Rhinolophus ferrumequinum: one gene and its partner. The main gene of each other region encodes a partner of the protein of the gene in region 2 in a complex. Links are inferred from orthologs where the notes say so. Each region holds a gene or a part of one and is shown on either strand. Other genes may lie near its edges.

Region 1 (16,362 bases), on a different chromosome or scaffold from region 2:
TAACTGGGATATCAAGATCTTTCTGTAAAAACAGGTTAATGTTAAAATGTTATCTTTTCTCCCACAATGGTCCCTTAGGGTAGAAAAGTTACCTGCTACATTATCTTTCTTCGCTCGAATCTTCACTTGGGCTTTATTTACATTTTGGATAACCGTGGTGCTGCAGGGGGGAAAAAGGCCTTAATTTAGGTTGAGTTTTTAGAGTGAGGAAATAAAACGGACCCATCGGGTAATTTCAACAAGAGTGAGATGTCACAAGTATGTTTTGATAATTGTCTTTTTCCAGAAAAGGAAAACAAGCACTGCTTCCAGAGGAAGGCCTCAGAGAGCAAAGAATGAACAATATTCAAAACATTAACCATAAGAAAACAACACAGAATGATTTTAAAATACATGGATTGCTTGAGTTTTCAGTCAGACATGTAGTACACAGATGTGACTTGAAGGATTCTTATTCTGCTAATGTAATTTGGAGGAAATTTTCCTCACTTCTAGGTTTGGCTAAGCAAGTATTCAATTCCTTTATCCTGGAACTATCTAACTTCCATCTGGCTTTGTCTGATTCTCCATCTATTATTATCATAAAAGTGTTTTCCCCCAAACCATCATAAAACACATTCACATACCACTTACACACTATTCCCTCCCTCTGCTGCAAAAGTCAATGCAAGTTGTTATCCTACTGACACTGACAAAAACTAAAGTCTGTCTACTACTTCAAAAGGCCTTGTGCCCTCCTACTGACCTCCCACCAGGTCATTCTCCTAGATAACACAAACTGAGAATGAAGGCATTATGTCACTGGGTAAAGAAACCCCTGAAAAAAACAACTTCCACCTCTGCCCCTAAATAGCCGTGACTCAGGAAGGCACTGGACTTAAAATAACAGTAATAGTGCTTACCTTGTCTACCTCACAGGCTTATTTGGAGAATTACATAACATGTAAACTGATGAAACTCCTTTGTAAAGCAATAACTAAACCATTTTGTATGCTTTGTAAAGCATATACTGATATGACAAAAGCCATATAATTCATGCCCTTTAAACAACCAATTCCATTCTCAAAATTTATCCTAAGGAAATAATTCAATAGAAACAAAAATATATATGCATGAAAATGTTCATGGTACCTTTTCTGATATTCCAAAAATCTGAAAATCATCCCAAATGTCCACTATTAGGAGAAAATTTTAATAAATGATGGTACATCTAGAGAAAGATTATGCAGCTAAGTGAAAACAAGGAAAAACATTCATAATACAATGTTAAATGAAAACGGACTATGAAATATTCAGTATCCTGTGCATGCAACTCTAACAGATACATGTGGGTAGTAAGAAAGACAGTAGTGTTAAGAAGATGGGGTTAAAAATGTTCTTCCTTATTATTACAGTATATCAGTTGTCTTTAAAGCTTATACATGTTTAAATTTAAAATGGCTTTTAAATGCAAGTATGAAGATGAAAGAACTTTGATTTTTTAAAACATCCTATTTAGTCTTCTTACCTGAAGTCCCCTGCTGTGAACTTGGCCTCAGCAAGTGAAAAGGCAGCTTCTCTCATCACTTCACCCATTAACATTTTAGTCTGTAAAAGCATAAACCAACAGCTAGTTCAACTAAGTTTTTTACAAGAAAAACATCATGTCATAATTGTATTCCTTTAATAACCATCAGTATTTTATATCAGATGTGCATGTAAATATCACTGTGATAATGATAAAACACAATAAAAATTTCCAAATTTCAACAGTTTTGATTATGGTTACTAACAATGTTGCAAAACCATGAGTTTTATAATCAAAACATCAAAATAAAGGCACTAAGAAATAGAAAACTGAACCTTTACTGCAGGTACTGTTATTCCTGAATGGGCCCATGGTGATTTGCTCAAATTAATGTCCTTAATTCACTCACTGCAATGCAGTCAAAATCCTAATAGCATAGTGATTCTAAAATAAATCTGGAATATTTAATGTGTAAGAATATCCATTAATTTTTTGAAAGAAAAGAAACACTAGGACAGGTTGGGCAGAGAGTTATCTTACCAAGTATTAAAAATGTACAGCTCCAATAAGGAAATAAATCTGGTCAGATAAGTCAATAAAATGGAATGGAGAGGTCAGAAACAGCCCCAGATCTGTATGGGAATTTGGTAATGTATAGAAATCATTTAACTGGCCATTTACTTACAAAATGACAAAGTTAAATCCCTACCCCCTCACATCACACCAAAAAAAAAAAAATCAGAACGTATTAAAGATAATTATTTTTAAAGCTATAAAGTAACAAAAGAAAATATAGTAGAACATGATCCTAATCTTTTTAGGCCTTTCTAAGCATTGTATGTAACCCAAAAGTTATATAAAAGACGAAGAGATTTGACCAAATAAAAATTAAGATAACATTTTTTTTAAAGTTAAAAGATAAGCAAAAGACTTGGAGACAATATTTTTAGCATTTTATATACTAACTTGAAATATATAGAACTTCTACAAAAAAGTAAATTCACCAAGAAAATCAAATTACCCGTAAGCACAACAAGATGCTCAACCTCACAAAAAATCAATAGTGCAAATTAAAATAAGATACCAATTTTAGCCCGACAAATTGGCAACAAAAAAAAATTAAGAGGAAGGAGTTTGGATTTTATTGTATTAAGCTATGTGCAACTTGGTACTTTATAATGGTTATTTTTACTTTTGAAAGAAAAAAAATTCATTAAAATAACTTAAAGGAAAATTAAAATGTCAACAAGCCATGTTGGATTTTCCTGAGATATTTCTAAAATAAATACTGTTCTAAGCAGAGTTCACTCTACCTCTATGATCTTCTTTAGGATCTGTCGAAATCGAAGAGTTAAGGCATCAGATTTCTTCTTTAGGAGATTTCGACCTGTCTGTGCTCCTTTTAATCGAGCCTTCATGATGGTCTGTGCCCTATATAAACAGTTAAAGGCATTTACTCCCCTTGTTTAACAGAAATAAAAATACCTGCCCAATACAATGTTAAAATTATGCTTTGTTCTTTGATGTCACGAGAATAAGAATATATATAGCCTTTGTACCTGACAGGCTTCACTGATTTCTCAATACCGTGGAATTCCACTCTCAGTGTTTCATAAATGAGAAGGTTATTTAAAACAGAAACAATTTTTTAATCAATATATGGAATAAGTATTTATTAAATTATAATAAAATCTATCATGAGCCCTATTTTATGATGTCGGCATAGTTTACTTATTTGATGTGTAAGTTAAAACAACACCTGTATTTCCATTAGAGGCATATTAAAGATTTAAAAAATAATCTGTCCACTAATATATATTAAAATTTGAAATGTTCTTACCTTCAGGACCAACAATTCCACTTTGAGGAATTTATCCTACAGATTTACTCCTGCATGTGTACAAAAACAATACACGGTGTATTCCAGCCTTATTTGTAATAGCTAAAGAGTGGATACATGTTAAAAGTTCCATAAATCATGGTTCATTATAAAATGGATATGCAGCCATAAAAAAAGAGGAAGGCAGATCTCCATGTGCTCTTTCTATTATATTTATTGTCTTAGCTATGCAAAGTAAGGGGTAAATATGCTTACACAGATACAGAGACCTGTTCTCGAAAGGATTCACAGAAACTGCTAACAGTTTCCTTTGAGAAAGGGGGCTGACTGAGAAAAAATAGATTTGCTTTTTATTATATTGTTTTGTACCTTTGGCATTTTATTCCACAGCCAGTTACTACTTTTTCTGTTAAAAGTGTGGCATTAAACACCTGGAGATTTTTTTTTATTGGAAGGAACATCTAATAAGACACTCTCCAACCTCACTGGAAGGGACCTTATCAGGCACCTGACTGCGAAGAGTCATTTACTCCTGTCTACGGAAATCAGACTCCTCAAGGACGAGAAACCACCGACACCAGAGGTAGACAGCTGTCCCAAGTCACTGACAAGGCCTGTGTACCTACAGATAGATGCTGAACTCAGAATCAGTTCTGTTTGAGTGTATTTACCTGTTTGCTAATGAAATGAGAGCCATAATAATAGTTATACTTGTTTTTTGGGTTTTTCTATATAGTCCAACTATTTATGATTCCTCAACAAGTATAACTTAATACTTTTCATGGATTATGTAAATGTTATTTTAAAGAGCAGGGCATTATAGTATTTTTGATATCAGTCAAGACTCTACTACCAATCATTTTATTAATTTGCAAATGACTTGATATAACAAATTAGGTAACAAATGACTTTAGGTAACTTGTCAATGACATATATAAGTAATGACTCCTGAGAAGTGACAAGAAACTCATATCTCCTTACCTCCTTATTTCAGTCTTTCCCATCAGAAACCCCAATACCAAAGTCGAGAAAGCAACAGCAGAAATTGACATTTCTCTTCTTGCTACCATATGCCAGATAAAATTTAATAATGGGGGGGAAAAATGGGTAATAAGATTCAACAATAGATCGTGTAACATAAATACTTAAAGTGATTTGTTTAAAGAGATTTAATTTCATACGACTAGTGTTACAACCAACTGCAAAACAGTACATATTAATGGACTTTTTGGCTAAATTCTTAGATTATATTGAAATCTTTTACCACTGGGCAAAGGTTACTGAGATAATTCTATAGCTGGAAAGGACTTCAGACATTATCCTGAAAGTTAGGAAAATGAGGCTCAGAAAAGTGAAACAACTTTGCCACAGCTACTTAGTGAAGAAAAGGCAGAGCAGAACTTGAACCGGATTTTTGACTCCAGTGATTGCCCAAGGCTCATACTAAGGCTCAAACTTAAGTCCACTGTACCCCAACATGCCACACTGCCTCCCCTACAGATTAAAAATACCATCAGATGAATAGTTGTCTCTCTAGCTGTCAGTGACTGACTCTGCACTGACTGGACCAAGTGAAGCTGGTTCAGTTTCCAGCCTAAGCAGGAGCTAGCCACCCCAATGTGTACATTTAAACACACCGTATTGTTGACACTAACCACCAGAATTTGGGCTCAAGGAGTCGAATCAAATTTAAGTCTAACCCTAGTACTGCAGATTCCAGCAAGTTCATAGTAAAAAGGCAAACTGGTTGATGAAATTGAATTTAACATGCTAATTTTGATTTTCTCCTAGGTAATGGCATCTCTGCGAAATAGGTCAATTTTCATTCTTGAGACTTGAAGAAAAACAACTTGACATACTATACTTACAGCCCTTGTAAGTATAACCTGGATTTGACTGACTTCTGTTGACTCTATTTGATTCCCCCCTAAACTTGTTTTGCTCTCTCTGGTGCCTAAGGAGGTGTCAGCCTCATTTCACAGGATAACACTGGAACTGTCTGAAACAGAAGTCACTAATGTATTTTCTAGCCTAGCTCTTAAAACATCTGTTCTTTCACAAGTTTCAGAACTGCTAAATCCTACTGAAAAGTGTTTGACCTTCAGCTAGGATAATAACTTTGTTTCCAGCTGAATCAAAGACATCTGACTGCATGACAAAGTACCTGCTGCTAAGCCTCTGGAAAATATTTAGAGAAGCAGAAAATATTTAGAGAAGCGGGTTACTTCCTGCACCTGATTTTCCTCTCAAACAGCAAGCTGAGTGCACTCAAATAGCAATTTCCACCTTCACAAACCTATCATTCTTCTTGTCTAAGGCCAAATAAATTTATTTTCACCTCTCAGTCTCCAAGTGAAAACAAAAAACTGTTAACATTCTGACTACAAACACAGCCAAATATTAGTTAAAGCGTTGAAAACAGGTTTTATTCAGTAACCACTGACAGTAGGGGGAAAAGAACTGCACTCCATTCCAATTTGTGCAGAGAAGACTGGGCATGTTAAAGGAAGAGTGAGGGAGGGGAGCTAGAAGGCACTCAAGGGGAGTCAGAAGTGAAAAATTACGAAGGGTTGGTCAGTGGAAACGGGATTAGGCCAGCTGTGTCCACTAGCTGGCCATTATGGAAGGTAGGATTCCTTCCTCCCACAGAGAATGGGAGATGAAGGCCCTATCCTTCCTGATGACTACATTTCAAAGAAATCGTTTTCAGGTCCTTGAGAAAGACACTTCTAAATTGTAGGAGAGGTATATACATCTCAAAGGGAAAATGAAGAATTCATAATTGTAAGTCCTTTTCAGTAAATGCCCTAAGAAAGGGGCCTATCGTCAGGTGTTGGCTAGAACAGTAACTTCTGACAGCAGCTGAGCTTTCTCAGGCAGACATATTACTGGAGGCTGGGTCATCCTAAGAACACAGCTTAAGCTTCCTAGAAGCAACGCTGGAGTTTGGCTGTCTCTGGTGCAGAGGTCTGGCAGGACTCAATCATTAAGGGCTGGAAATTCTGCAGTTCTCACTACCCCAGGGTAGTCCTGACCCTTATCTATTTTACAGGCATTACCTTTCTCCACTACTGCCTTGATTCCCACCTACTACAAACTGCTATTAGAAAGTCAGTAGGTAAAGTTAAAAAATAAACCAAAAGCCCAAACCCCTTCATTTAATTAATAGCTGTAGCCACGTAGGCAGAGACAGAAATTAAGGTTTGGGCTTTGAATATACTTCTTTCATTTTAAAAGTCCTCAGATTCTCTGAGAAAAAGGTCAGCATGAAGAAAAACAACAATACTCCCAAAGAGATAGGACCACAATCAAAAGATCTAAATGTCAGAGCCAAAACTGATTTTCTGCTCTTCACTGGGGGAAATAAAAAAGAGGAAAAAGGAGGAGGGGGCAAATAAGAACAATCTTTTCTTTCCACACATTGTTAGGTACATTTGAGAAAACCTCAAAATATTCTTTAGAGACTTTCTCTTTAGAGAAAACCTCAAAATATTCTTCAAACACCTAGGGCGACATGCTATTTCTCCTGCCAAAAAATTCAGTCCAAAAACGAAAGACAGCCCACGTCGGAGCAGATTCCAAGACAAGAGTTCATTCAAGGAACATTTTTTTTGTGGACAGTCTATGGAATCATGATCAAGACGCTCCGATCCTGCAGAAACCTCACAGTCCAGGGGGAAAGGCATGTAAACAAATACTATTCATTTTTACAAAGTGATTAATGGGTGATATTAACAGAGGTCTGAACAAGGTGCACGGTGGTAAGAGAGCAAAAGAAGTGCCTGAGAAACTGAGGGGTATCTTCCCACCGCAGGTGACATTTCATGAGATCTTGGAAAATAAGGGGATCCACGATTGAATCTAACGTCTACGCTACAGCATTTCGATTCAACCCCCATATGGCTTAGAAGTCTCTTCTATACACTTCCCCCTGCAGAAAACTTCCCTTCTCGATCCATTTATCAAACCTCGTTGGCTTATCCATCTCTCCGCTAAATTGAGTTCTGGTCAGGGCACGAGTGGTGACGATTCGGTTACATACATCCAGTGCCCGGTTCAATAGGGAGTGTGGAATGAATGGCTCGATTGAAGAGTAAAGTCAGCGGACCTCCACAAAAGCCAGCAGGCCGGGTGTCTGTTCCTATGGGCTGGGACCAGTCTGGTTCACTCAGAGGAATGTGTGAGGGGGCCGTCACAGAGCCTCGCCCTAAACTCACGAAGAGAGACTGGGAAGCTCAGGATCCGCCCAGAAAACCAGGAACCTCGCTGCTGGTCCCGGGTACGAAGGAACCGCGGCTCGGACCCGGCGTTCCTGAGCCTATGACGGATGCTCGTCCCGTTCTTTTACTTACATTCGCGAAGGAAAGATTTCAATTCGATCTTTGCCCGACATTCTGACGATGACTCTGTGGCTCGGGTCCCCGGCCGGGCAATCGTAGCTGCAACAGACCCAGCCACAGCGTCTTCCTTTACCGGAGTCAGCTGGCTGTGTCACTTGACACCCCGCGCGTTGCTAAGAGGCAGCTGGGATATGCACCCGCCACTTCCGCTTCCTGTTGGTACGTGGGTTTGGGGGTGGGCGTGGGAGGAGGGAAAAAGGCCTAAAGCCGGCGATGCCCGGATGTTCAGGCGCGCGCACCACCCAACGGCACCTCAATTCCGGTCAGCTTCCTAGCCCCTCCCGCTCCAGCTCCCCGGCGGCTGCGCAAGGCTCTGCGCGTGGGACGAGAGAACGAGAGAGAAGAGTATACTCTTTCTCTTCCTGCGCTTGTCATTTTTGGTCACAGCGCCACCTCATGGTTGGCAGAAGCTTTGAGAGAGGATTTATTCTTCAGGAACAAAGAATGAGAGTTCTACTTCTCCCTGCGCCTTGAAGGGTTACTTACCGACAACTAACGGTAGCGAAAAAAACGTACTTTTCAGGTTCTCCTGGGATCTTCCTTCTTCCTTGTTCCCGGAGGACCCGGACTCTATGGTCAGTGACGAAGAGGGCCTCTATTCTGTTGGCGCTTGCGTGAGACGAGGTGGTTCCGCATGCGCGGTAGGGTTGAGCGAAGCGCACGCTGAGGAGGATCGGCGGCTGCTGCGGGTGGATCAAGTCTGATCTCTCGGATTAAAGAGCGCGGCGCGGGACCCCACTGCGGGATCCACAGACATACCTCGGGTAACTAGTCCCCTAGATCGGTTTCTCGAAGAACTCACTTTGGTTGTGTGTAGTGACATGGGTGGTCGAGAGAGGGTAGGCCCCGGGCTAACACCTCTCCCGTCCCTGGGCGAGAAGTGTCTGGACACCACCGACACCCCTGGCGGGCTCCGTGTCGGTCTTCCCGAGTTGCAGGTGGCGTTGTACGAGCGGAGGCACCTCGTGAAGGAAAATGGGCCAAGTGACTGTACAGCCTCTTCAATATGCTTAAAGTTGAGGACTCCTTGCGGTGGGGCGGCCTCGGGAGAACGCTGTGACACTCCTGCACCAGGGCCGAGCGCTGCTCCTTCCCGGCCTGAGAATTCCATCCATCGTTTTTTTGGTTTTGTTTTTTGTTTTTTCCTCTTGCGCTCCAGCAAATACTACCTCTCCGTGGAAACCAGACCGTACACTGCAAGGGACCAGTAGGATGGATCACAGTGTTGACAAAAGCTGTCTCACAAAGGGCCCAAGAGCAGTTTATTCGATACTTTATTTTTAAAAATTGAAGTTCGTTTTACCTTAGCGCTCGAGTTGGGCATTTCTGTGGAATGAGTCACTCCTTGAATTGAAACTAAAACATACTTTTAAAGAGTTTATTACGCTTCGCGTCGGTTTGCTGTATTTCAGCACCGGTGAGAACAGACTTGTAGTATTACATGGTGTGGTCTTACAGTTATGCAAAACTGAAAAGATGGGGGAATTTTGGGGTTAAATACTAATATTCAGCCTGAGGTCTTTTTTGTTACCCCCCCCCCAAAACTTAGGCTACTTTAATGTTGATTAAACAGGAAACATTGTTTCTTGGAGAAAAGATGTAACAGAAAAGTCTGTTTTTTCTCCCGATTGAAGTTGTTATTTAAGGGAAAAAAGTTGTAACTCTGTCTTTCAACGGTGTGGAAATTACTTATATGAGTAGAACTTTACTGCCAATTCTCAGTTCATCTGATGCCAAATGACAATTACTAATTCTCAAAACATCTCAAAAAGGTGCACAGTAATGTTTGTAGATATTGGTGTTTCCTATTTCAACTACAGTGAAATAGTTTGAAAGCTTTGTTGTGTAGCACTCCTATACTAAAAACTAGGATGCAGAGAGCTTAAGTGTTAGAGCTTAATTACAGTTATTGCAAGAATTGTTTCTATCACATAATGCTTTACTTTGGAAAGGGATGTGGATTTCCTGTATCCATTGTGGTGACTTGACCATGCGCTGGTTGTTTTTTTGCTGGTTGTTTTTTTTGTTTTTTTTTTTAATTGGGGACTATTGGGAAACTGTGTTTCTCCAGGGCCCATCAGCTCCAAGTCATTGTCCTTCAATCTGATTGTGGAGGGTGCAGCTCAGCTCCAAGTCCAGCCATGGTTTTCAATCTTTGGTTGCAGGGGGAGCAGCCCACCATCCCATGAGGGAATTGAACCCGCAACCCTGTTTTTCAGAGCTCCTGCTCTGACCAACTGAGTCATCCAGCCACCCCAGACCATGCACTGGTTTAAGAAAGAAGTCCTACCTACCATCTGACAAGGCAAAATTACTGACAATGCAGGTTATTTGAAATTAACTTGGAGTTCAGTTAGTGTATTCTGAAAAATAGGTGTTCTTTACCAAAGAACACATACTGCATTGTAGTACTCTGACATATTGAGGCTCTGAGGGTTAAAAATATTCTGTATTTAATGTCAGAAGACTTGGTTTTAGTTCCTGTTCTCATACTTAAAGATTTGTCCTTAAGGAAGTCACTTAATTCTGGTCCTTGGTTCCCAGTTAATTGATCATTTCACTGTGTTCCTTTCATAATACCTTATATTGCAATTATTTGCTTATTAGTTTGTTTCCCAGTCTTTACTTAAATTTTTTAGGTAGTAGTCTTAATTGTATCAGTAGTGCTTAGTGCATAGTAGATACTAAAAAATGATTTTTTAACAAATCAAGTAACAAATGGAAATAATACTTCCTTTGCCTTTTAATTTCTTATATTTGTGTAGCACATTATACTTTCTAACTGTTTTTACATGCATTTTTGTTTCATGTGATGCTCTCCACAAATCTGTGAGGTACATGCCACAGACTAGAAACTACACTTCAATGGGAATACATTTCCCAAGCAACCACAGCTACGTAGTCAGAGCCAGGACTGGTACCCACATCTATAGCTATTCCCAAAGTTCACTGAGTCTTGACGAGGACTTACTGAGAGCCAAATAAAATAAGTCAAAGTGCTTTGAAAGTTATATAAATGGCCAATGTATACCTAGCTTGTGGCTTCTATTTTCCTGACTGATTTTTTAAAAGTTAGTGTAATTATTACCATAAATAAAGAGATATGTTCAAAATCTATCAATCAACAGGCAGGTTGTTTGTGAAATGTATTCTTTTTGTACTTACCGGCTATTTTCTGTCTTTACTGTAAATAACATCAGCAGTATTCCTTTATTTACCCTACATATTACAAAGAGACTTATACTTCCTAAAGCTGTAACATTTATAGCTCCCTACAGGGTTCTTTTACACTATTGTCTGTTTTCTTTAACCATCAAATTAAGCCTGCCTTCCCCAAAATCATCAGCTTTACTATTTGAAGAAACTTGATAAGTAAATGTGGTTAACACATGTTAAAGCTCTTAAAACTATTTCACACATTTTCATGGCATCATTTATTTTGATACTCAGTTTAAAACATTTTTAGCTCTCAAATTTTAGTACTTTACAGATATTCGACGAGCTTTTTTTTTTAAAAAAAAGCCCTGTTTAAAAATGAAACAACCAGCTCAGCTGTTTCTTGGTGGGTCATTCTGGCCATTGTCTACTTTCCTTTATTTGCTAAATTTCTATTTTGTCAAGCTACAAGAGAAATACATCTCTGTCACTGTTACTAATACGCTGCTTTATTTTATTTTATTTTATTTTATTTTTTGGTTAAACAGGATAGATTAGTACTGAAAGTTTTCACTAACTGTGGTATTCATTGCTCCAGCATTGGATATGTATGTTAATGTTGCTTTTTGTTTAAGATTTTCTGATTGTAATATATTTATAATATTGAGAGAAAATATAGCCTGATGAATAGTACACTATGGTTCTTCATAGGTTCAAATTCTGACACTATCACTTTTTAGCAGTATATAACAGAACAAGTTGCTTAACCTGTGCTTCATTTTCTTCAAATATAAAATGGGGAGAACTAGGGAGAAAGTGGTACCTCAGGGAGACAGGCAGTGGCCAGATCATATAAGACCCTGTAGGTCATAAAAAGATGTATAAATCAGAAGCCACTGGGAAGTTACATACGGATGCAGTTAGCAGTTCTCAAATCACACTGCAGCAGAATTCCAGGGTTCTGTGAACTGGGTGTGGATGTTTTATCTTTATTTCCCAATTATTAAGAAAAAAATAAGTTAGTGATTTTTCACAAATTTTTCATAGGCCTTTAGATCCTATTGCCTGTCTTCTGAGCTTTGACAACAGTAAACTGGTTACGGTTAGCAGAAAAACATGAAAATCATCAACTATGATTAGTTTGAGAGCTTCCCTTTAAAAATATATTTCTACTTATGGTATGATTTCAGGATTGTGGATCATAAAAGGAGTGGTGCTGAAAGTAGGTTGGGTGGATCAAAGGGAATAGTTTTAAATATATATATACTTGGCAGTTAAGAGAAACTTGAACTTTATAGTAATGTAGATCTATAAAGCTATTCTCAAGATTTAGTATACTTATTCAACAAAAGAAAAGAATATTTGGGAGTAATGGGAAAAGTAGAAACTAGAAATTATGGTAATTGTGAATTAAATTCAAGTTTGTTTTAAGAGGGGGAAAAAAATCTGAGAATACGTTTTGGTTAAATTTAATACCTTTCCTGATTAATAAACTTTTAGTTTTTGTCCTGTCATATGATACTGTAATTTTGGCTATACTTACTTATAGGGTGTATCCTTTAATATATGGTTAGGGTTTAAGTAATCAGAAGATTCTTCCCTTTATGTAATGGGTAGTAGCATTACAGTCCTAGCTGATTTGGAGAAAGAACAGCTTTAGAATTTTCTGATAGGTTTATAATAGTAGTGATGCTTCCCATCATTTGTTATTTCTTGAAGTGGTGGTATTAAAATGGTATTTTACTCTTAAGGTGTACCTTTAATCTTTAGGTCTCAGAGGTTAGTTGTACTTTATAGATGGTCATTACTTTTTATGATTCCTCTGAAACTGATGGTAGAGAATCATCCAAGCCTTACAAAAGTGTGGAGCAAAATAAAAATTAAAGCTTGGTTCCTGAACATTATCTGTTTTCTGATACCATTTAAGAAGTTTAAAGAGGTGAGAAGACTAACAACTGCTCACCTTCTGGCAAGATGTAGAAAATGGACATTTCTTTATTTTGACTTTAACTGAGCACTTACTTTATTCTTTTGTTTAAATTTCAGAATGCCGGGTCTAAGTTGTAGATTTTATCAACACAAATTTCCTGAGGTGGAAGATGTAGTGATGGTGAATGTAAGGTCCATTGCTGAAATGGGGGCTTATGTCAGCCTTCTGGAATACAACAATATCGAAGGCATGATTCTTCTTAGTGAGTTGTCCAGAAGGCGTATTCGTTCTATAAACAAACTCATCCGAATTGGCAGGAATGAATGTGTGGTTGTCATTAGAGTGGACAAAGAAAAAGGTAAGTGAGAAAAGTATCTAAAATACAAATTTCAGATTTAAATTGGTTTACAGTAAAATATATTATTTGTAAATTGCCTACGGCCGTAAAAAAACAAACTCCTCCTTTTATACCTAAACTCTTTTACGTACAAAGTTGTTAGAGAAGGATGCCAATTAGCCATCTAAGCAAGATCTCTTAGTAATGGTTTAATTAGTGCATCCCAGGACTAGTTTTTATTATTGGTCAGATAACTTGAATTTTATTTCCAGAGGAATTTTCCATTTAATATTTTCAGGCCATGGTAATTAAACAATTTATAAGTTTTAAATTGCATGGCAGTCTGGGTAACATGGTGAAATCTCTCATTGTCCTGCCCAGGACATGAATCATCCCTTTGTCCAGCGTGTCCACACTATATACTGCCTGCCCATTAGTCACCTGGTTATCATCTCAGTTATCAGATTGACTGTTAAGATATTACAGTGCCTGTGTTCCGATAACCCTTATTTTACTTAATAATGTCCCCAATGTACAAAGTAGTGATGCTGGCATTTGGATGTACCAAAGAGAAGCCATAAAGTGCTTCCTTTAAGTGAAATGGAATGTATGGATAGGGAAAAAAATATTCTCTGTAGGGTTCAGTATGACCCACAGTTACAGGCATCCCCCGGGAGTCTTGGAATGTACCCTGCGGATAAGGGGGGGACAACTGTGTTCCTTAAATTTGAGTAAGTCTTCATATCACTGCCCCAGAAGGACCTAGAATGGTGTCTTATCTTGCATTTCTTTTCTATTATATAAAATATATAACAAAAAGGAATCAAATATATTTTTAACTGTAATCAGAAAAAATACTTGCTTAAACACAATAGATACATATAAGAATAATTTCTATAGCTGCATTATTTGTACAGTATTAATTAAAAACAGGAAACAACAGTCAAAATCGTAAAATAAATCATGGCACATCCATGCAATGCAGTTTTATATAGAAGATCTGAATATTCTGTTGTGGAAAGATGATTGGGGTTGAGATAAGAAAAAAACCAAAGTGCAGAAGATCCCATAGAGGGGATTCATGTCTGATACTAGAAGATTAGGTCCTATTGGAAAAACCTTTAAAAATAACAGCTATAAACCCTGAACAAATATTTTTAAAACTACCTAAAGACAATGGGCATAATCAAAAGCAGGCCGAAACTAAAGGAAGAAAGGAATTTCACTGGCTAAGTTTTACAGCTTTTTGTCTGAATGAATGTTGCAGGTGGCTTCAAGCAGGGCAGCTAATGGTAGACCTACAGTCTTAATGACTTGAGAACAGTTCTGGACAGCCATAGAAGTGATAGAGATTAGAGAAAGGAGAGACACAGAGGGAGAAACCCTAAATTTATATATAAAATCTACTCAAATCTCTGGCTGACCCCTGAACTACTAATACAGAGAGGGTAGACTGCAAGCAATCCAACAGGGTAAAAATCTAAATAGATCTTGGTGGCTTTCCACTTGAAACAGAGCTTATAGTTTTGAAACCAGACAAATAACTGCCTGCTAAAACAAAATAAGTATCCTTAATAAAAACATAAAGGAATTCACAATGATCAGGATACAATCCAACTACTAAACATTTGAAGAAACAAGAAATTATGACCCATACAGAAGAGAAAAGACAATCAATGGAGAGTGACCTAGAGTATCCCTTATGTTGGAATTAGCAGATAAGGATTTTAAAGCAGATACTACAACTGCTCAAGGATATTAGATATTTTCCTAATCATTACAATCATATTTTTGCTTGTAACGAACAAAATGAAATCTCAGTAGAGAAATTAGAAACTCGCACAAAGCACTAAATATAAATTCTACAAATCAGAAATGTAATATCTAAAAAATTCACTGGGTGGGGCTAACAGATTAAAGATTACAGAAGTCTCAGTGAAACCTGAAGATAGTTCATTTAAAAAGAACCAATCTGAAGAACAGTAAAAAAGCAACCTGTCAAATATCAAAGCTCTGCTCCAAAAGAAAAGGAGAGAAAGAGCAGAAGAAATCATGGCCAAAAGTTTCTCCTATTTGCGGAAAAAACATAAATTTACAAATTGGAAAAGCTCAGCTAACCTCAAGCAGGATTAATACTAATAAGACCGCATCTAGGCACATCAGACTATTGAAAAACAGAGACAGAGAAATCTTGAAAGTAGCCAAAGGAAGATTGCACATTATTTACAGGGGAGCAGTAATACAAATTACAGTGGCATTCTTATTGGAAGGAATGGAGGTCAGCACATTGAATGACACCTTTAAAGCACTAAAAGAAAAAACTGTCAAACCAGAATTCTGTAACTGAAGAAAATATTTCAACAATAAAGATCAAAATGAGACATCTTCAGGTAAATAGAAACTAAGAGGATTTATTATCAAATAGACCTACATTATAGGAAATGGGAGAGGAAGTTGTTCAGGTCAAAGAGATGTGATGCCTAAAATCGAAAATATGTAGGTAAATTTTAATGATCACTTTTTTCCTCCTAAATTCTTTAAAATACACGTAACTGTTTGTCTCATTTTGTACCCGTGGGATCGTAATTTATGGAGGTGACTGATGACATGGAGAGGCCAATGCCATTGAAAGAAGATTTTTTTCTCACTTAAGAGAAGGACACCATGTGCCATGCAGGGCCACATGAAGCTCCACATGTGGTCAGGAGGCGGAAGGAGCCGTGGGAAAGTCTAGGCCAGAGCGTGTATTGAGATGTCCACAGAAAAGGCAAGGCAGGTCAGGGTAAACAGTTTAGGGTTGGCTAGTTTGAATAGTTTGTTCAGGCATTGGGGCATCAGGCTATTCTGGTTGTCTGGTACCTGGCCTTGGCTGATTTAGGGTAGGGGGAATATTGGTTTGGTGTGTGAGACTTTGATGAGATAGTTGGGGGTGTGGGCTCTGGGTTTTTTAGTTTGCATATGAAAGGCTGTCGCAGGTGAGCCCTTAGCTGTCTCTAAGAATTGTCTAGCTCTAGGATGGGGAGTCTCTCCCCACCTAGTCATCCAGGCTGCAAATGTCATAGCATCAAGAATACTGAAAACACAGTTAATGCAATTGACACTATGATAAATGGATGCCAGATAGACAAATATCGAGTCTTTATTAGGTCCCTCCACTGAGGTAATAGAGAGTATACAATTACATGATAATAA
Region 2 (16,515 bases):
ATACCAAGTCTTTAGATCTGGAAAATGCAGCTACTTACCTCCTACTTTATAGACTCCATCAGCTAGTAATCTGTGTCAGTACAAGATTAGTCTGTTACTTAATCAAATATAATCCTTGAGCTTAGAATATGGTAGTAGGAAACATTTACCCTTGGCTTATAAAGGCAGTGTGATAAAATGAGACAATGCATGTTAAGCATGTAGCACAGCAACATCAGATAATAAGCACTCACATGTTTTTAGCTATTAAAGGCAATGTCAATGATGCCCATAATTCTAAAAACAAAATTTAGTGGCAATATTCTGCAAGGCCACAAGATGGAGATATGACTACACAAAAGTGGGTCTTTTTCTACAAACTCTGACATTTTAAGTCATATAGCAAAAGGAGAAAATGAAGTACAGAGAAAGCTAAAAGCCTAGCTGCTTATACTTTAGATAGGTAGTAAGTGTACCTTGGCACAAAACTGTTTGGTCACTTCTTGTGCAGTGTTTGACCTGCCTTCTTCTACAAATTCCCATTGTAGTGCAAGATCAGCTGCACCGTAGGACTCCCCTCAAAGGAGTCATCTTTACTTCCTAGGCCCTTAATGTAATTCACAGGCACTCTCTCATCACATCTGTATTTTATAGCAGTTTCTCAATCTTGGCACTATTTTTTTTTTCCTTTTTAAAAAATTTTATTGGGTAACAGTGTGTTTTTTCCAGGACCCATCAGCTCCAAGTCAAGTCACTGTCCTTCAATCTAGGTGCAGGGGGCGCAATCCACCATCCCATACGGGAATCGAACTGGCAACCTTGTTGTTAAGAGCACGCGCTCTAACCAACTGAGCAATCCGGCCACCTCAATCTTGGTACTATTGACATCTTGGGCTGGGTAATTCTTTCTTGTGGAGGGCTTTCCAGAGCACTGTAGGATGTTTAGCAGCATCTCTCTCTGGCTTCTACCCACTAGATGCCAGTACCCACCCCACCCCACTGTGATAACCAAAAATGTCTCCAGGCGTTACCAGATTTCTGGGGTGGAGTAGGAGGTGTGCCCTTGGTTGAGAGTCACTATTTTAGAGGGTTAACAGGTATCAAAAAAACAGTGGTAGGTGGGTCAGCTCTCCACACCGTGTGACTGCAAGTATCAGGTGTGTAAAATTTTCAGCAATTATTTGGTTGGGTACTAGAAGTGCTAAACACACAGGACAAAATCTACTCAGGGTTATAACCTAGAAAGAATAAAATTGTTCTTTGAAAATTTTTCCATGGCCATCCATCCATGTGTTCAATTAGGAGAGCTCCTTCCCAGTTCTGGCTTTTCCCTTACTATCACCTAAATGTTGATGTTTTCACTTCCAAATCTCTGAATCCAAGCACACATTTCCAACTGGTTACTGATTATCTCTACAGTAATCTCAAATTCCACATCAAAACCCGAACTCATCATTCTCTATAGGAAATTAGAATATCTACCTCTATTTTCTATCTTTACAAATATTCTCTTCATGCAATACAGAAATTTACTTTTAGATGTACTCTTATGTCTCATTTTAATCCATGTTAATTCTGCTCCCCAAATATCTTCATAATGTTCCTACAGCTTTTTAGCAGTATTGGTCACGCCATCATATCATTCCAAAATCTACAGGCTAATGAAGAGGAGTAAGGCTAGAGCCAGGGAAAGCCATCACAATGCAGTCAGAATAATCTTTCTAAAACACAAATCTGATCACTGTATTTCTCTGCTTAAAATTTTTCAATAGCTACACATAACCTACCAAGTCAAATTCAAATAGTACTATATATAAAGCCCTTTACTGGCTGTGGCCACTGACCTAGCCTTCCCTCCCTTCCCGATCTTTTTGCCATATAAAACTACTCAAAAATCCAAGAACCCACCAAAGTCTCTTCCTTCTTGGCTCACCTCTGTATCTGTTTTTTCATTAGTAGACTATATATTTTCTATTCCTATTGATATATTAGACAATGTATGGCTATCTTAGTGCCACTGTGACGATTAAATGAGATCTATTGCCTGGCAGCATAGTAGGCACTTAACAGTAGACAACACAAATTAGGCAGCTATAAACAAAACTAAAAGTGCCATGAGGGGCAGGATGGGAGATCCAGTCTCAAAAGGCTGACACAAGAGCAAAATGAAGAAAGCAGCTTAAAGAGAACAATTCAAGTATGATTCCAAAGTTCTGTTTCTTGGTATCATAGAAAGTGAGAGCTGACAGAGACCAGGGATGGCAAAGCTGTGACACACATCACAGCAGTCACGAAACTATCAACAGATTAAATACTGGTAAGATACCATCAACAGATTACAACTACCACACGATTTAGAATATTTGGTTGTTCTTGTTTAGGTTCAAGCTATCCTTTTTAAAGAAACTTTTAAGAAACTTTAAAGAAACTATCCTTTTTAAAGAAACTAAGGCCCAGGTCAAGAAACTGGTTAGTGACCCTACTGCTAACTATCATTAGTGACACACTGAACTATAAAATATAAAACGTGGTTGCTTTTAGGCCATTGCTTTTTGCATTATGGTATGTCTCCTTTACGAAGATAAATGCTACAAATAATAAACTGTACAGACTAGAGGGGTGAAATCCAAATACATCTTTAAATATACCTTAGTAATCTGGAAAGAGAAATGAGAAATATTTAAAATGCCCCTAAATACAAAATTATTTTCCTAGCTTACCGGAGTTTAAGAAGTTCCACCTGTAAAAAATTTTCTTTCTAATAATTTGAGTCCTAAACTGGCATCATTCTGACAATATTTACTAATTTTAATGTCTCAACCCATTTTCTAAAGAACATTATCTTTGTTTTTTAATTTCAAGTAAAAAAGCAATCAATATCCAAATTAAAAACTGGTTAAGTTATACGCAACAGGTTAGTCACAAAGATTTAAAAATAAAATAAAATAAAATAAAAAACACAAAACATGGCCACTGCACATAGGAAACGTCCAAGTTAAAAAAAAAAAAGGAAATACCATTTATTACCTAATCAGTAAAGTAAAACTTTGAGTTAAAGCTATATGCGAATATGTACTCAAAACCAATTTGTAAAGAAACTATTAGTGACTTGTCATTTTACAAATGCTCAATGTATGCCACTCATCCCAGACAAAGGTAATTTATACCACTGAAGCTGAGATGGCAGCCACAATGTCTTCCTCCATTTCCTTAAGGTTTTTACAAGTGCCACTCCCCTTCTCCATCAGCTCTTGGAGAAGAGGGCACTCATACACTGCTGGCAGCATAAATTGCTACTATCTTTCTGGAGTCAACTTGGCAACCAATACCAGAGCTTTATAAATGCCAGTATTTTCTGATCCAAAAACATTCACTTCTAGGGAAATATCCAAAAGAAATAATTAAGGATATATGTCAAGTTGTTTTACAAATACGCATTCACTTCAGCACTATCGAGGACTGAGAGTGGAGAAGCCTCTGGACTTGGAAAACAAGGTGTTTTTTTTTCCTTAAGAACAGCTTCAGCAATGAGAGGCAGAATATAGGTTGCACTAGATCAGGAAAAGCAAATACATACTTCCAATTATCCCTTCCCCATCCATGGCAGACAAGAGTCACAATATTTTTATTTAAAACCAGTAACCTACACAGTGTTATATATCAATTGTATCTCAATAAAGCTGGAAAAAAATTATTTCCCCAAGCAATTACATTACTTTAGCTTTAAATCCTGTAAATAACTATAAAATAACTATAGTAAGCAGAACTTTTCAACAATATCCAAAGAAAATGTGATTATAAAGATACATACTTTATTTCCTGCTATTATTTGGATCTAAGCTGCATACACTGTATCAATAAGATTCACTCTAAGACTCTCCAAAACAAATCATCCTATTCTACTGTTGTTCCATCTCTAACCAATCATTATTCTTTTAATCAGCTTTCTTTGTAACACTGATACTGAACAATACTCAAGTATAAAAGCAACTCAAGCCAAACTAAACTAACTAAATAAATAAGAGTAGCCTCAGAATCCTTTACCACAGAGGTATAAACAGCCAGCCACACACTATCTTTTGGACCACAGTAGAAACATTTAGAAACATTTACATCTAGGAACTAGATCCTAAAGGAAGAGATCATGTTTCACACAAAATTTTTTTTCAGGGTCTAGCACAGCACTGTCCAATAGAAATATAATTTGAGCCACATATGTAATTTCTAATTTTCTAGTATCCACATCAACAAACCAAAAAGACACAGGTGAAATTTTCACGTATAATCAAAAAAAAAATTAATGACTATTTCACTTTTCCTTAAATCTTTCTTCATACCAAGTCTTAAAATCTAGTGGTTATCACATTTACAGCACATCTGAATTCAAATGCTAATTTTCATTGGAAATATTTGATCTGTATTTACATTTCATAAAATTTACAGTAGGTCCACATATCCAAGTTGTTCCAAACATACTTAAAAACCGTCCAACAACTAACTTTAGTATCAGTTTTTAAAATTCAGTTCCTCAGTAACACAAGCCACATTTCAACTGCTCAACTGTAACTAGTCACTACTGTACTGGACAGGACTAACATTTATATGTTAGGCACTGAATGAATGCAAATAGGAGATGATGGAAGAGAACAGGTCAAGCAGTGTTCCATGATGGCACAATTACATAATTTTGTGGTTATTAAAACTACAATCCACACAATTCTTATTTCTATGATGAAAAGGAAGTTTCCATTGATTACTACTAATGTTCTAATGGTTTCTGCAGACTGTGCTTAAAAAAGAAAAAAAGGACAACCATTTAAATAATTGAGACAGTGTATCTTTTCAGATGACACAAAGCTGGAAACCATAGCTAATAATCTAGAAGAGAAAATAAGGAGGAGTCAAAGGATTTCCAAAAGGCCAAAATAGAGGATGTAGCAAAGTGAAATTTAATAGATATTAGTTTGGTCTGGCAAAAGCACTGGCTTTGAAAGATAATGCTTTATATGGATGGCCGTTAAAAATATTTTTCCAACCCAGAAATTTTTGAACTTTACCAACAGTTGTCCACAATTTGGTGAAGAAATCACAACACTGATGTCAACACAGCATTAGTCACCAATGTACATATCTATACTGTTAGCAGATACTTTTTAAATTATACAATGATTCCATTTACAGACAAATGCAAACATCTGATCTTCTTATGATTTATGGTATAGTTGTACCTGATCATTGCTACTGAAACAGATATAGTTTAGTTTCCTTTTATTTTTCCTTTATGAGTTAGGACATTATATTGATTTTTAATAAAATTTATGATACAGATAGGTTATATTTTATATGGATTCATCTCAACATAACAAGGGGACATTACAAAACATTTGTTAAAATCCAGTATCTCAATCAACATCCCACAAATTATTGGCTTCACAGGAGCAAGTATGAATTGCAGCTTTACAAAAGTTCCTGAATTCTACTTCAGCCTTGCTGGCTTTGTTTTTTGTTTTTTCCTGACAAAACCAGCAACAAAACCTTTTTAAAAAATCCTGTTTTATTGCAGTGTAAGACACATATGATAAAGAGCACAAATCTTGTTTACAGCTCACTGATTTTTTTACATCTGTGTACAGCTATGTAATCAACACCCAAGTAAAGACAAAGAATATTCACATCACTTCAAAAACAGCCTTGTGTCCCTTCCCAGGCCATAAGCTACCAGAGGGAACCATTACTCTGACTTCAACAGAGATTCGTTTCTGACTGAAGGATCTTATATTTTAATATTTCAATTAGTAAACTACACTGTTCTACATGCTACATATATATTTTTGCTGCCTACTTTCCCATCTTTATTTTGTACACATCTGTTCAGATCTTGTTTGCCATTTTTTGTTAGGTCTAATTTTTACTATACCTCTTTACTATAAACAAAGGGTAAATGGATTCAGTTTTACTTTCTATTATATTAACTAATTACATTGCCATCTCAGTCACAGCTGTGTATGGCACACCTTCTTGCTTGAACATCATCTTCCCTAAAGAGAAACAATAGATAAAAATATTCAGCTTACCTAATCCACATATTCAACCTACAATGTTCCTGGTTCATAAAAACAAGCAACCTCAGTACAAAGGAAGTAACATACCTCAAATTTCTAAACCATGCATTTAAATGTATGCAACAATGAAATGCCCTACTGCTAATAATAAAAACTAAGTAAAAATATGAAGAAAAACCAGGTAAAAGAGTGACTCTAAAAAGCTTCAAAAGGATAGGCGATATAGGCAAGGATGTAAAATATTTAAATAGTACTCTGATTTAGAGTTGGGAGTTCTGCATTTGTTACCGATTTCAGATATTTCTATTCCACTTATAGTTCGGTTAACTTAATACACAACACTTAAGCAAATAAAATTTCATACACAAACCCTATAATCAGGGCCACTGTTTCATTTTCACAGACCTTTCCAAATCAAGTCAGGACTGTAACACTAACCACATTGTTCATAGTGATACAAGTCTTTGAACTTGAGGACCTTAAAATCTTTTAAATAATGTGTATTGTCTTCTTTTGCCCAGTGTCTTAAATACAAGACTTAGAAGTGGGGGAAAAAAAATTAAATCCCATCTTACCTGGGAATTAGTTCATCTGTGAAGTTAAAAGGGATTATTCCTGTGAAATCATCTTAAAAATTTACCGTTAAGAACGTAATTTTAAACTCCCAATATTAGAAAGTGATAGAACTAGACTTAAGGATTCTTCACTTCAGGCATAGTTGATGGCATAGATTCAATAACGACAAATTTCCTCTAAATATGGCCAGTTCCTCTAATTTGACTCATTTCTGGGGATGTGCCTCCATCAACTTGCTACACATAAATAACCATTTTAAATAAAAAGATAATTACCTCACGAGTATATTAACTGAAGGTAGATGTGAATAATACCACCAGTTTGACCTCATTTCTAATGCCAAGTTAGGAATCAAAAAGAACATTATACCCTAGTGAGACTGAGCTAAACCAAAGATTTTGGATCTAAACATACAGAATAATTTCTTGGAGGCTCTGCTCTCCTCTATAAATCCATGCAGTCCCAACACTGGGAACTCTTCAGCTTCATTTTTATTACTTTAACGGAACAAGACAATTTAGTACTGAATGCCCGAGAGAATACATAAATTAATGAGACAGCACCCATACTCAAGAAAACAATTTTGCTAAATTATAGTTGATCATATATAAAATAGCCAAGCTTCCTAGTAAGTCATGATTAAAGGGCAGCAAATTATTCTCATACCCCTCAGTTGGTATCCTGATTGGAACTCTTTTAGAACTTGATGCGAAATAATGCAGGCATTGTGAAAATTTCTTCATGATTTCGAAACATTAATTACAAGACATACGATTTAATATTAAAATGAATTCCCAATACTTAAGGCAAAATCAAAGAAATCATGTTACAGAGCTAAGGCCAAATTATACTGTTGGACCTCTTCTGCGACCTCAAACACATAAACACACCGAGATAATATTTAGACCCGTGTTTTAGGCACTATGAGATTACTTTGAGGCCTGACTTTTATTTCATCCTCAAAAGGGTTGCTGAATACTTTGAAAGGCTTCATTAACTCAAAACATAGTTACAATTCTTTAACTGACTTGCTATAATAGAAAAAAACTCAGGCATCTCAGAAAGCTTTTAGCATTGATAAGATTCCTTTTCTTCCTGTAAGGAGAGAAAAGGCGAGCTCCCAAACGACCAATTTAGGCAATATTTTAAAACACGTGTTATGTAATTAATATTTTAACAGTATGTAATTTAATAGGAAGGTGATATCTTATCCAAGTGGAAACAGCGGACCAAAATAATCCCTAATTTATCCAAGAGGGAAACTGTGCACGAAGACTAACTGTGCCAATCACCTAAAGAAAGCTTCGTAGTAACTAAGGACCCCCTCACAACACCGGGGCAACACTAAACTACCGGAGCAAGAGCTCCACCTACTGATCAACAAGACTTCCTTAAACATTTTGGCACCCCAAGTCTACAGTGCTCACGCTCTCTCCCCCTCCTCCACTCGCTCTGACCCAACCCAAATCCAGTTGAGTCACTAGCTGTTAATACTCATCTCCTTGCTCTTTATTCCAATTCCTTCTCCCTCCAGAAGATTCTGCACGGCTCTCAAGTGTGAATAAAACTGAAAGGTGACAAAACACCAAGGTTCCCAGTGTGGCGCCTACTAGATCTGAAGAGGACAACCAGACCACTAGACTTGGAGTGGCGGGCCGGGGGTGCCTCAGCACTCCGTTCCCGGGCCGGAGACCCCGGGAGCCTCACACAAGCTTTTCCCTGCTGCCCCACTCAGCTGCTTGTCTCCACTCCACACACACTCGTCCTCTTGGCCGAAATCCTGGGTTCTCCGGGTCCTGCCTCTGTTGGACCTTCAGCCCGCCAACTGCCCGAGCCGAGCCTCCGCCCCCTCGGGAAGCAGAGAAGCCCAGAAATCTCCCTCCGCCGGGTCTTCTCCCACTCTCTCCCCTCCTTCGCAACCCCTCTCCCCCGCCGGCCGTGCCTGCTGGCTGCCCTTCCTCACCCTTTCATCTTCCCTGCCTGCTGAGGCCGTTGTTACCACCGATATCAACGCCGTAGTCGTCGCCGCCCTGAGCTCTCAGCGCCCCGAGCTCGGGCCACTCAACCCCTCCACACGCCGGCCTCCCCGCCTAAGGTAGGGAGCTGAGCGGGTGACGGAGGCCGCGAGAGTGGAGAGCGGCCCTGCGTCTCCGGAGGGGGCGGGAGTGTGTCCCGCCCGCCGCACTGATGCCGCCGCTTCTCCACACGTGCACACCCGGCACTCGGCTCCCGCCCGCCGCCGCCGCCGCTGCCGCCAGCCAGACCCGCCGCCGCGCTGTGACCTTTCACCCCGCCCCCTCTGCGCGCCGGCGCGCCGGCCGCCTCCGCGCAGCCGCATTGCTGGCCTCCGCGCACCCTTCCCCCTCCGCTTCAGTACCTCCATCTTTTTCCTGGGCTGTGCCGTCTGGCGTCATCTTCCTCCTCCCATCCCTTACGACACTATTTGTGGGGCTGGCCCGATAGGCCCTGGCGGTAAAATCTGGATTTTTCCACCCCTCCCTTACTTCTCCCACGTCAGTCTCTTCCGACCGTGTTCTTCCCGGTTGGTAGTCTCCCTAATGACCTTCAAATGCTGCTGTCTCCTAGTAAGATCTTATAAAGTTGGGTGTTCTAAAAGTAAAATGTCTGTGGAAAACTCAAGTAAATGAGGTGTTTTTAAGACAAATAAACGTAATTAACAATTGGCTGGGTAATTTGGCTTCCGTCCAACACGTTTCAACTTTTGAGATCACATGATAGCCCCAAACCTTCAAGCCTGGGATTTTAGCGGCGGGCGCCAGAGGGTCGGAACTTCATCGCCATTTCCGGTCCCTGGAGCATGGTGTTAACGTCACTTCCTTAGCAATGCATTTTTTTTTTTTTAACCCGTTCCACTCACGTTTTCTACGTTGCACTTTACACCATAATCTTTGTGAGAGTTTTTTTTTTTTCTTAAAATTTAATCGCACTAAACTAATGTTCAAACAATACGGAAAAATGATCTTCAATATGTAGCGCGCCGGGCAGGCCACGGCAGGGCGGAGCTCAGGATCACGTGACTGCCCAGGCCCGCCCCGCCACTGCAGCTGAAGACTTCCCCTCCCTCAGTGACAGAGCCTGTGGGTCCGTGATCTGTACAGTTTCTGCACCTCGCGCACTGGCAGGTGAGCGGCGACGGGTAACTGGCGGCTGGTGGAAGAGAGGGGTGGGAGGAGGAAGATAGGGAAGGTGTGAACGGCGGCCTCCGCTTATCCGGCCTTCCTCCCCGCTGTCATGTTGCATCGGCTAGGAGCTCAGTTCTCCAGACCCCCCGCTCCAACCACTGTTTTAACCCCCGCAACTTGGGGTTGAGATGTCCACTTTTCTCAGGGTTGGGATTGGGTGTGGCCATTTGGTTCCCTATTCGGAGTCTTTGGGGTTTCGGGTGGTGGGATTGGTTCAGCCATTCCTCGGGGTCTGCAATAGCCTCCAGGACCCAATCCCCAAAGCCCATTCTTTGGCAGAGGCCCTGGTCTTTACCTTCAGGTTGGGGCTGGGGAGCGGGAAGGTAAGAAAAACCCTGGAGGCACGGGCGTCTCCCGTGAGACTGGCTTGGGAGAGAATGACACTGATGTCGCTCTCCCTGCGGAGTCACTGTAAAGCCTGCTTCCAAACGTGCTTTCTCAGTAATTCTGACTTTTTATCTCATATCTTTGAGAGAGGCGTTCCATAGCTGTTCACACGCTTTGGGTGGGACTGGAAAGGTGAAAGCAGGCCTTTTCTTTGATTTTGTGGTGCAGTAATGGAGAGGATAGTTGAAAGGATAAAGATGTACTAGCTTTAAAACTGGAGGTGTTAATACGACAGTCTCGATTGAATGGGGAGGCGTTTAAAGATGGTGTTGCGGTGCCGTGATGTGCAAGAGACCCAAACTAGCTTATGGAAAAGTGACTAGCTTTCACTGAAAGGGAACTAATTCTTCAGAAACGAATTGGGCTCATACGCGTATGATTAAACCAAATGTGTTTGACCATATACTTAAAGGAAAAGGAGGTTAAGTCGAGATATTGCTGACTTCATATTTTATGCCTTTGACATCTTTTGCCATTTTCCCTTAAAGTCCCACTTAATTGCTACTCCCAGTCAATTCCTTGACCATTGGTAAATTTAAGTAGTGCTTGTGTCCCTCCTTAGCTTTCCCCATTTGTAAAACTTCAGGTGACGTCTTCAAGTTTTGATGAATAGTATTTTGTGAAAATACAGAAATTATTTTGCTCAGGTTTTTGCCCAACCCATTGCACTTCTTTCCATTTGGTTTGCAATGTAACCAATGTTTTGACCCCAAACAATGTGCTTTACGGAAGAGTGTTTTTCAGTTTGGTGTTTAAACTCTTTTATTTATACTGCAAACTTAGAAAGTCCCTTGGTTCTTTTGAATTGAAAGGTCTGGCAGAAATTACAAATTTGATTTTAAAATATAATTTTTTACTCTGAAAAGTCATATTCTCAGTTAAACCTTGTAGTTTTCTAACCAGTGTAGTTGAAGAATTCATTAAAAAGACAGCTGAAAAATGAGAAAGATGGAATCATCTTTGAGTGGTGGATGTGACTTATTTCTGTTTTTCTGTATCTTCCAACTTCTCTACAATAAACTGGTCTTATTTTGTTAAGGGGAACAAAAAGTTAAATTCTAGAGTAATAGCAATTTAACAAGATTTCCCCTCCTGCAGTGACATTCCACCAAATTAGATAAATTGCTTAAGTGTCTTATAGGTTCAAACCAGTCTTGTCTGGGTGAGACCAAAATGGGAAAGAGAAAACCAGCTGAAAAGCAGTGAGTACTTTGGGGGGGTGGGGGAGAGGTGTCAGTATGAAAGAGGTTGAATGACTCCGCAGTTTTACTTAACAATTCCCCCAATTTTCGGGAACTTATGAAAGCTGTAACTTAGACCACTAATGAAATCTGGAAGATTAGCAGCAGTAATTGGTGACTAAATTGCTATTAAAGTTAAATATGAAAAAAGGTTTGACATTATATACAATTTACACACGCATGCACACACACAAATAATTTGAAGCTTCGAAGCCATTTTTTAGACTAGCTTCATTAGTTTATGACTATTCCATGTAGAAATGTTAACACTCATTAGGGAGTTGTGCTGTAGTCCAATATTAAACGGTATACAAGGGTTTTTGTGTTAGGGTCCCCGGTATCTCTTGTGTGCTTACTCTGAGGTCTTATATTTTACTGCCTGTATAGATTATCACCACCTCCAAGAGTGCTTTCTTTCCCTATGTGCAGAAAGCCACTCAGTCCATTAGACTACTACACAATATTTTCTGTTCCTCTTTCCACTTTTAGGACATTGTATTTAATTACTCTTTTCTGGGCTGTTCCTTAGTAAACCCTAAAGCTCCTAGGAGTTAAAGGACAGTGTCTTTACTGTTGTCTTCAGCACCAGGATGCTAAAGTACCTGATAGGTACTCAGTAAATTGTTTATTGAATGAGTGTTTGACAGTTGGAGCAGGAGGTTAAACTACTTTTAAAGCTCTTGAAGATCACAGCTTCTCCTATGGTTTTGCACAAAGTATTAGCTTTCTAATATAAATGGATAATAATAACCATCCAAATCATGGTCCATAGAATAGATATAAACCTCAGATGGACTTTATTAATGCGGTGACCAACTTATTTTCATAACGTGTTTACATATATGTTTACAACATATCTGGATGATATTGAAAGGAAGGGGAGTGACTTGTACTTAATGAAAAAATGGCTCTGTACAGGCACCAAGTGATATAGCTAGCACTAGACTGAAAGTCAAAGGACCATCATTCAGCTCTGCCACTTTAGTTACATGCTCTTTTAAGTTGGGGTGGGAGCTTTGGGTTTTATTCTTTAGAACCTTCCTTTTAAGGGTATTGTGAATTCAAGTAAGGTTAAACTATAGATAACCTAATTTAAAAGCTAAGTGGTATTTAAATGTAAAGCAATGTAGTACAGATTTGACCAGAATAGATTTCCCAATCATAGACCTGGGTTCAAGTTCTGGCCCTACCACTTAAGCTTTCTGACCTTGGACAGTTTACTTAATCTAAGGTTAAATTTCCTCATGTTTAAATCTATCCCCTAAGTACTATTAGATTAGATCATGAATGCAGAAGACTTAGTACATACTTTGTAAAGGAGACTTAGGGAGACTTAAGACATCCTATAAAATTGAGTTAACAGGGTTAGGGCATGAAGAAAGGAGTAGAATTTGAAATGAGGCTATTACAAAAAAATAGAGGAGCAAGAAAAGTGTACCTTAGCAAAGATTCTAAAACATTTATATTAGGAGCTGATAAATACCAGTATAAAGCCCATTATTTTGGCAACTGCAGTGACAATATTTTCTATAAAAAGATTTTCCAAAGCTTAGGATCATTAGTATGTAGAATCAATATAAGGAGGTAGTTGTGCTATTTCTAAATTATTATCCCTACAATGGATTATAGAAATATATTAAAATTGTACAAACCTGTAGAACAGGAACTATTGAGTTTACGCTTATGTTTAAAATTTTTGCCTTTTAATTAAATTTTTTTTTGTTTTGAATTTGGTATATGGACTGTTTATTAAGTAATAATAAACCAGTTTTAAATTTCTTGAGTGTGATAGTGGTACACTATATTTATTGTTAAATATAAACAATAAAACATTTAAAATATGAATCTCCTAAATTTCTTTATACATGCAATCTAGATGTAGCGATGTGGCCTTTTAAACCACACTATTCTTGAGTGTATAGTGTATTATAGTGTACTACTATAATAAAAAAATAAATACTTTTATTAATTATTAAATTAATATTAAATTATTAAAATTTAATAATTTATTAACTTATTGTGAATTTAATAAATTTCACAAGTGCAGTTAGTCAGATTTTGTTCTTAGGTGATACATACTTTTTTTTAAATGTTTTTATATCTTATTTTCATATGAAGTAGACATAGGAATGTAGAGAACAAATGCAGACATAGCAAAAACTATTCTAGTTTATTTTATTAAACTAGAATAAAATTTTTCCCTTCTAGAGTGAGATGAATCACAGGATTAGTGGTTTTGTATTGGAAAATATCAGTAAATTAAACAGTAATTGAAGTATAGCTATCATGAGTTTATGTTTCACCTTAATCCTGAAAAAAATTATTACTCATTTGTTCTAACAAAAGATTTTATTAAGAGATTATTGAATATGCTCTTTAATATCAAGGTCTCTATTATAGTGAAATAAATTGTGGTCAAAGTTTTCTATTTAATTTCTTTCTGTAGAAACTTTAAGTTTTACTATTCTCTTTTTTTAATATTGTGACTTTGGTTCATATAAATATTATTTTACATATAGTATATATTATGTACATAGTAAACATAACATATATAATATAGATGGATAAAGTGTGTGTATTTATAAAGACAGCTGAAATAGATGTATATTTTCATGGTCATAAATCTTTATTTTTACCAGAAACTATTAAACTAGTCTTTAAAATTAGTTACTGTGAATAAATTTACCTAATGATTATTTGGGACTCCCCTTTATATTTGTTCATACTTAGCTCTATTTAATAAATTTCACAAGTGCAGTTAGTCAGTTTTTACAAATTGATGGTATTTCATAGGTGTTTTCAGAATTAACCTATGATTTTTTTTGCTATTTTTTTGGTATCAATATTATGACTAGCTTACTACAAGAACATTTTCACTTTTAATCTTAATACTACCTGTAGAAACGATTGTTCTTTCAGTGATAAACCTTTTAAAAAATTATACCTACAGCATCCCGTGTTTGGTTTCTTTTCTGAAAAATAAGTAAGCTTATTTCATTGAAAATACAATGGGTAATACATGATAAGATGCAGAAGAGCTCCAGATGTGCTTGAGCAATGAAAAACAACCAGACTTTGTTTTAGATATTTCTTAGTTTAATTTTGTAAAGTGTTTACTTAAAAGAAAAATGGAGAAGACTAAATTAGAAAATACTTACAAAATTGAGGAAAGGGCATGATAAAGAACTATATATGGTAGTGATTGTATGTACAATCACTATTTCAAATATTTTCAAATATTTGAAAAGATGGAAGGAAATTAATAAAAAAGTAATTATCTCAAGATTAGGAGATTAAAGAAAGATTTAAAATTTATAATTATAACGTGTATATTTGATTTTTCTACAGTTAATAGTCATTCCTTTGGGCAACAAAATTTTTCTAATTTGTTGTGGAGCATTAGGACATTTGCATAATGATTTCTTCTTAATTACTTGGATATCTTAGGTGAAAATGTTTTGACTTATCCAGGTAACTGAACAAGTTTTTTAATTTTATAGGTACGATATATTTTTAGGCTTATGTAAGTGCAGCAGAATTTTAAAAAGCAGAAGTAAATTCAAGCATGTAAAGGAATTGAATTCATGACAGTGATATTTTAATTCAATGGGAAATAAAGGTACATATATATATATATATATATATATATATAGTAAACTGACACAACTTGTCTGCTAGAAGAAAATAAAATTGAGTCAGTACTTTCTATAGCATATGCAGAAACCAATTTCAGATGATGAAAAGCTTAAATATAAACAATAAAACATTTAAAATATGAATCTCCTAAATTTCTTTATACATGCAATCTAGATGTAGCGATGTGGCCTTTTAAACCAAGATGGGAAATCTAAAAGTCATAAAAGTAAATATGTGAGACTACATAGAAATGAAGAATTTTTCAATGGCAAAAATAAAAGACAAAATGTAGATTGAAAAAATTGTTTGAAATATGTATAACAAATAACAAGTTAACATTTGTAAAGAACTATTACTGAGAAGAAAAAGTCCGCACGATCGAAACATGGATAAAACATATGACCAGAACTTCACAGAAGAGAAATCCAGACAACAAACTTATGAAAAGATATGTAATCTCACTAGTGGTCAATGTAATAATAATAAAATATTCTTTTTTGACTTGGAAAAATTAAGTGATAAACCTGCTAGCAGTGATGTGCAGTAAAAGATTTCCTCATTAGATGCTAGTGGGGATGTAAATAATTACAGCATTTTTAGAAAACAATCAAACGGTATCTGTTAGTATTGAAAATCCATATTCTTCCATCCAGCAATCCCCCTTTATGGAATCTTTTCCCTAGAAATAAAAGTACCTGTTAGTAAAGGATTTTTACATGAATGTTGTTCCAGCAGTATTTGTAGTAGCAAAAATCTAAAAACGAAGGGATTGCCTGTCAACTTGAGTGTTGATATATAAATTATAGCATAGGCATATTATGGAATGTTTTTTAGATCAATTAAAAGTAGGAGTTAAAATCCATACCGGTGAGTTGAAAGGATTTCCAAATATATCCTAAAATGTTTTCCATTGTGTATCTTAAATGAGAAAGGCAAAGTTTAGAAAAATGTATATAACGAGATCTCATTTTTGTAAAACAGTTAAATATCGTGAGTTTTGTATATGCCTTTTTTGATTGTCCACATTGGAAGGAGAAAATGAAAGAAAGAAAAAGGGCAGGGTATTTGCAGTAACATATGCATGTAAAACTACATGTTTGTGCATGTCTGTACAAAATGAATTGCAGGGAAGAATACTCACCAAAATGTTTACTAGTTATCTCAGAGTAGTTGGATGGGTATGTGGGTGACTTTTTTACTTTTCTTCCTTACACTTTTCTATATTATATTACATGTCCTTATTTTTACAATTAACAGGTAGTGATTCTGTAATTAGAAAAAAATCTGATAGGACAAAGAAGGAATTAACTAAAGGAAAAATACCATTTGAAATGGCCAGGAATGGTAATTGTCTGAATTTTTTTGTCTTAATTACTTAGGTATCTGAGGGGAAAGTGGATTAATTTTCCTGATAACTCCATAAATTCTCCT

Evidence for each region.
Region 1: the proteins of ATP6V1A (region 2) and ATP6V1D are in contact, whole or in part, in a cryo-EM structure (PDB 9B8P), measured with the Rattus norvegicus proteins. The link is inferred for Rhinolophus ferrumequinum from reciprocal best matches to the Homo sapiens genes ATP6V1A and ATP6V1D. Residues at the interface, in NP_001101788.1 of Rattus norvegicus: Ala366, Met368, Pro369, Ala370, Asp371, Ser372, Asp416, Ser418, Asp436, Lys438, Glu491, Gln494, Leu495, Val496; in NP_955418.1 of Rattus norvegicus: Lys4, Asp5, Arg6, Arg167, Ala171, Val175, Ile176, Arg179, Tyr186, Glu190, Arg194, Glu197, Tyr200, Arg201, Lys204, Ile205, Lys208.

What each region holds. Positions count from the first base shown.
Region 1 is NC_046289.1:29,306,894-29,323,255, reverse strand, and holds the start of ATP6V1D (V-type proton ATPase subunit D), read right to left. Parts: upstream 7,901-16,362; 5' UTR 7,741-7,900; coding exon 7,700-7,740; intron 2,939-7,699; coding exon 2,821-2,938; intron 1,588-2,820; coding exon 1,508-1,587; intron 161-1,507; coding exon 93-160; intron 1-92. Other genes in the region: EIF2S1 (eukaryotic translation initiation factor 2 subunit 1), read left to right, coding at 12,951-13,191. UniProt on the Homo sapiens protein: Subunit of the V1 complex of vacuolar(H+)-ATPase (V-ATPase), a multisubunit enzyme composed of a peripheral complex (V1) that hydrolyzes ATP and a membrane integral complex (V0) that translocates protons.
Region 2 is NC_046285.1:40,257,744-40,274,258, forward strand, and holds the start of ATP6V1A (V-type proton ATPase catalytic subunit A), read left to right. Parts: upstream 1-9,492; 5' UTR 9,493-9,760; intron 9,761-11,369; exon of another isoform or gene 11,370-11,409; intron 11,410-16,515. Other genes in the region: NAA50 (N-alpha-acetyltransferase 50), read right to left, coding at 8,581-8,588. UniProt on the Homo sapiens protein: Catalytic subunit of the V1 complex of vacuolar(H+)-ATPase (V-ATPase), a multisubunit enzyme composed of a peripheral complex (V1) that hydrolyzes ATP and a membrane integral complex (V0) that translocates protons.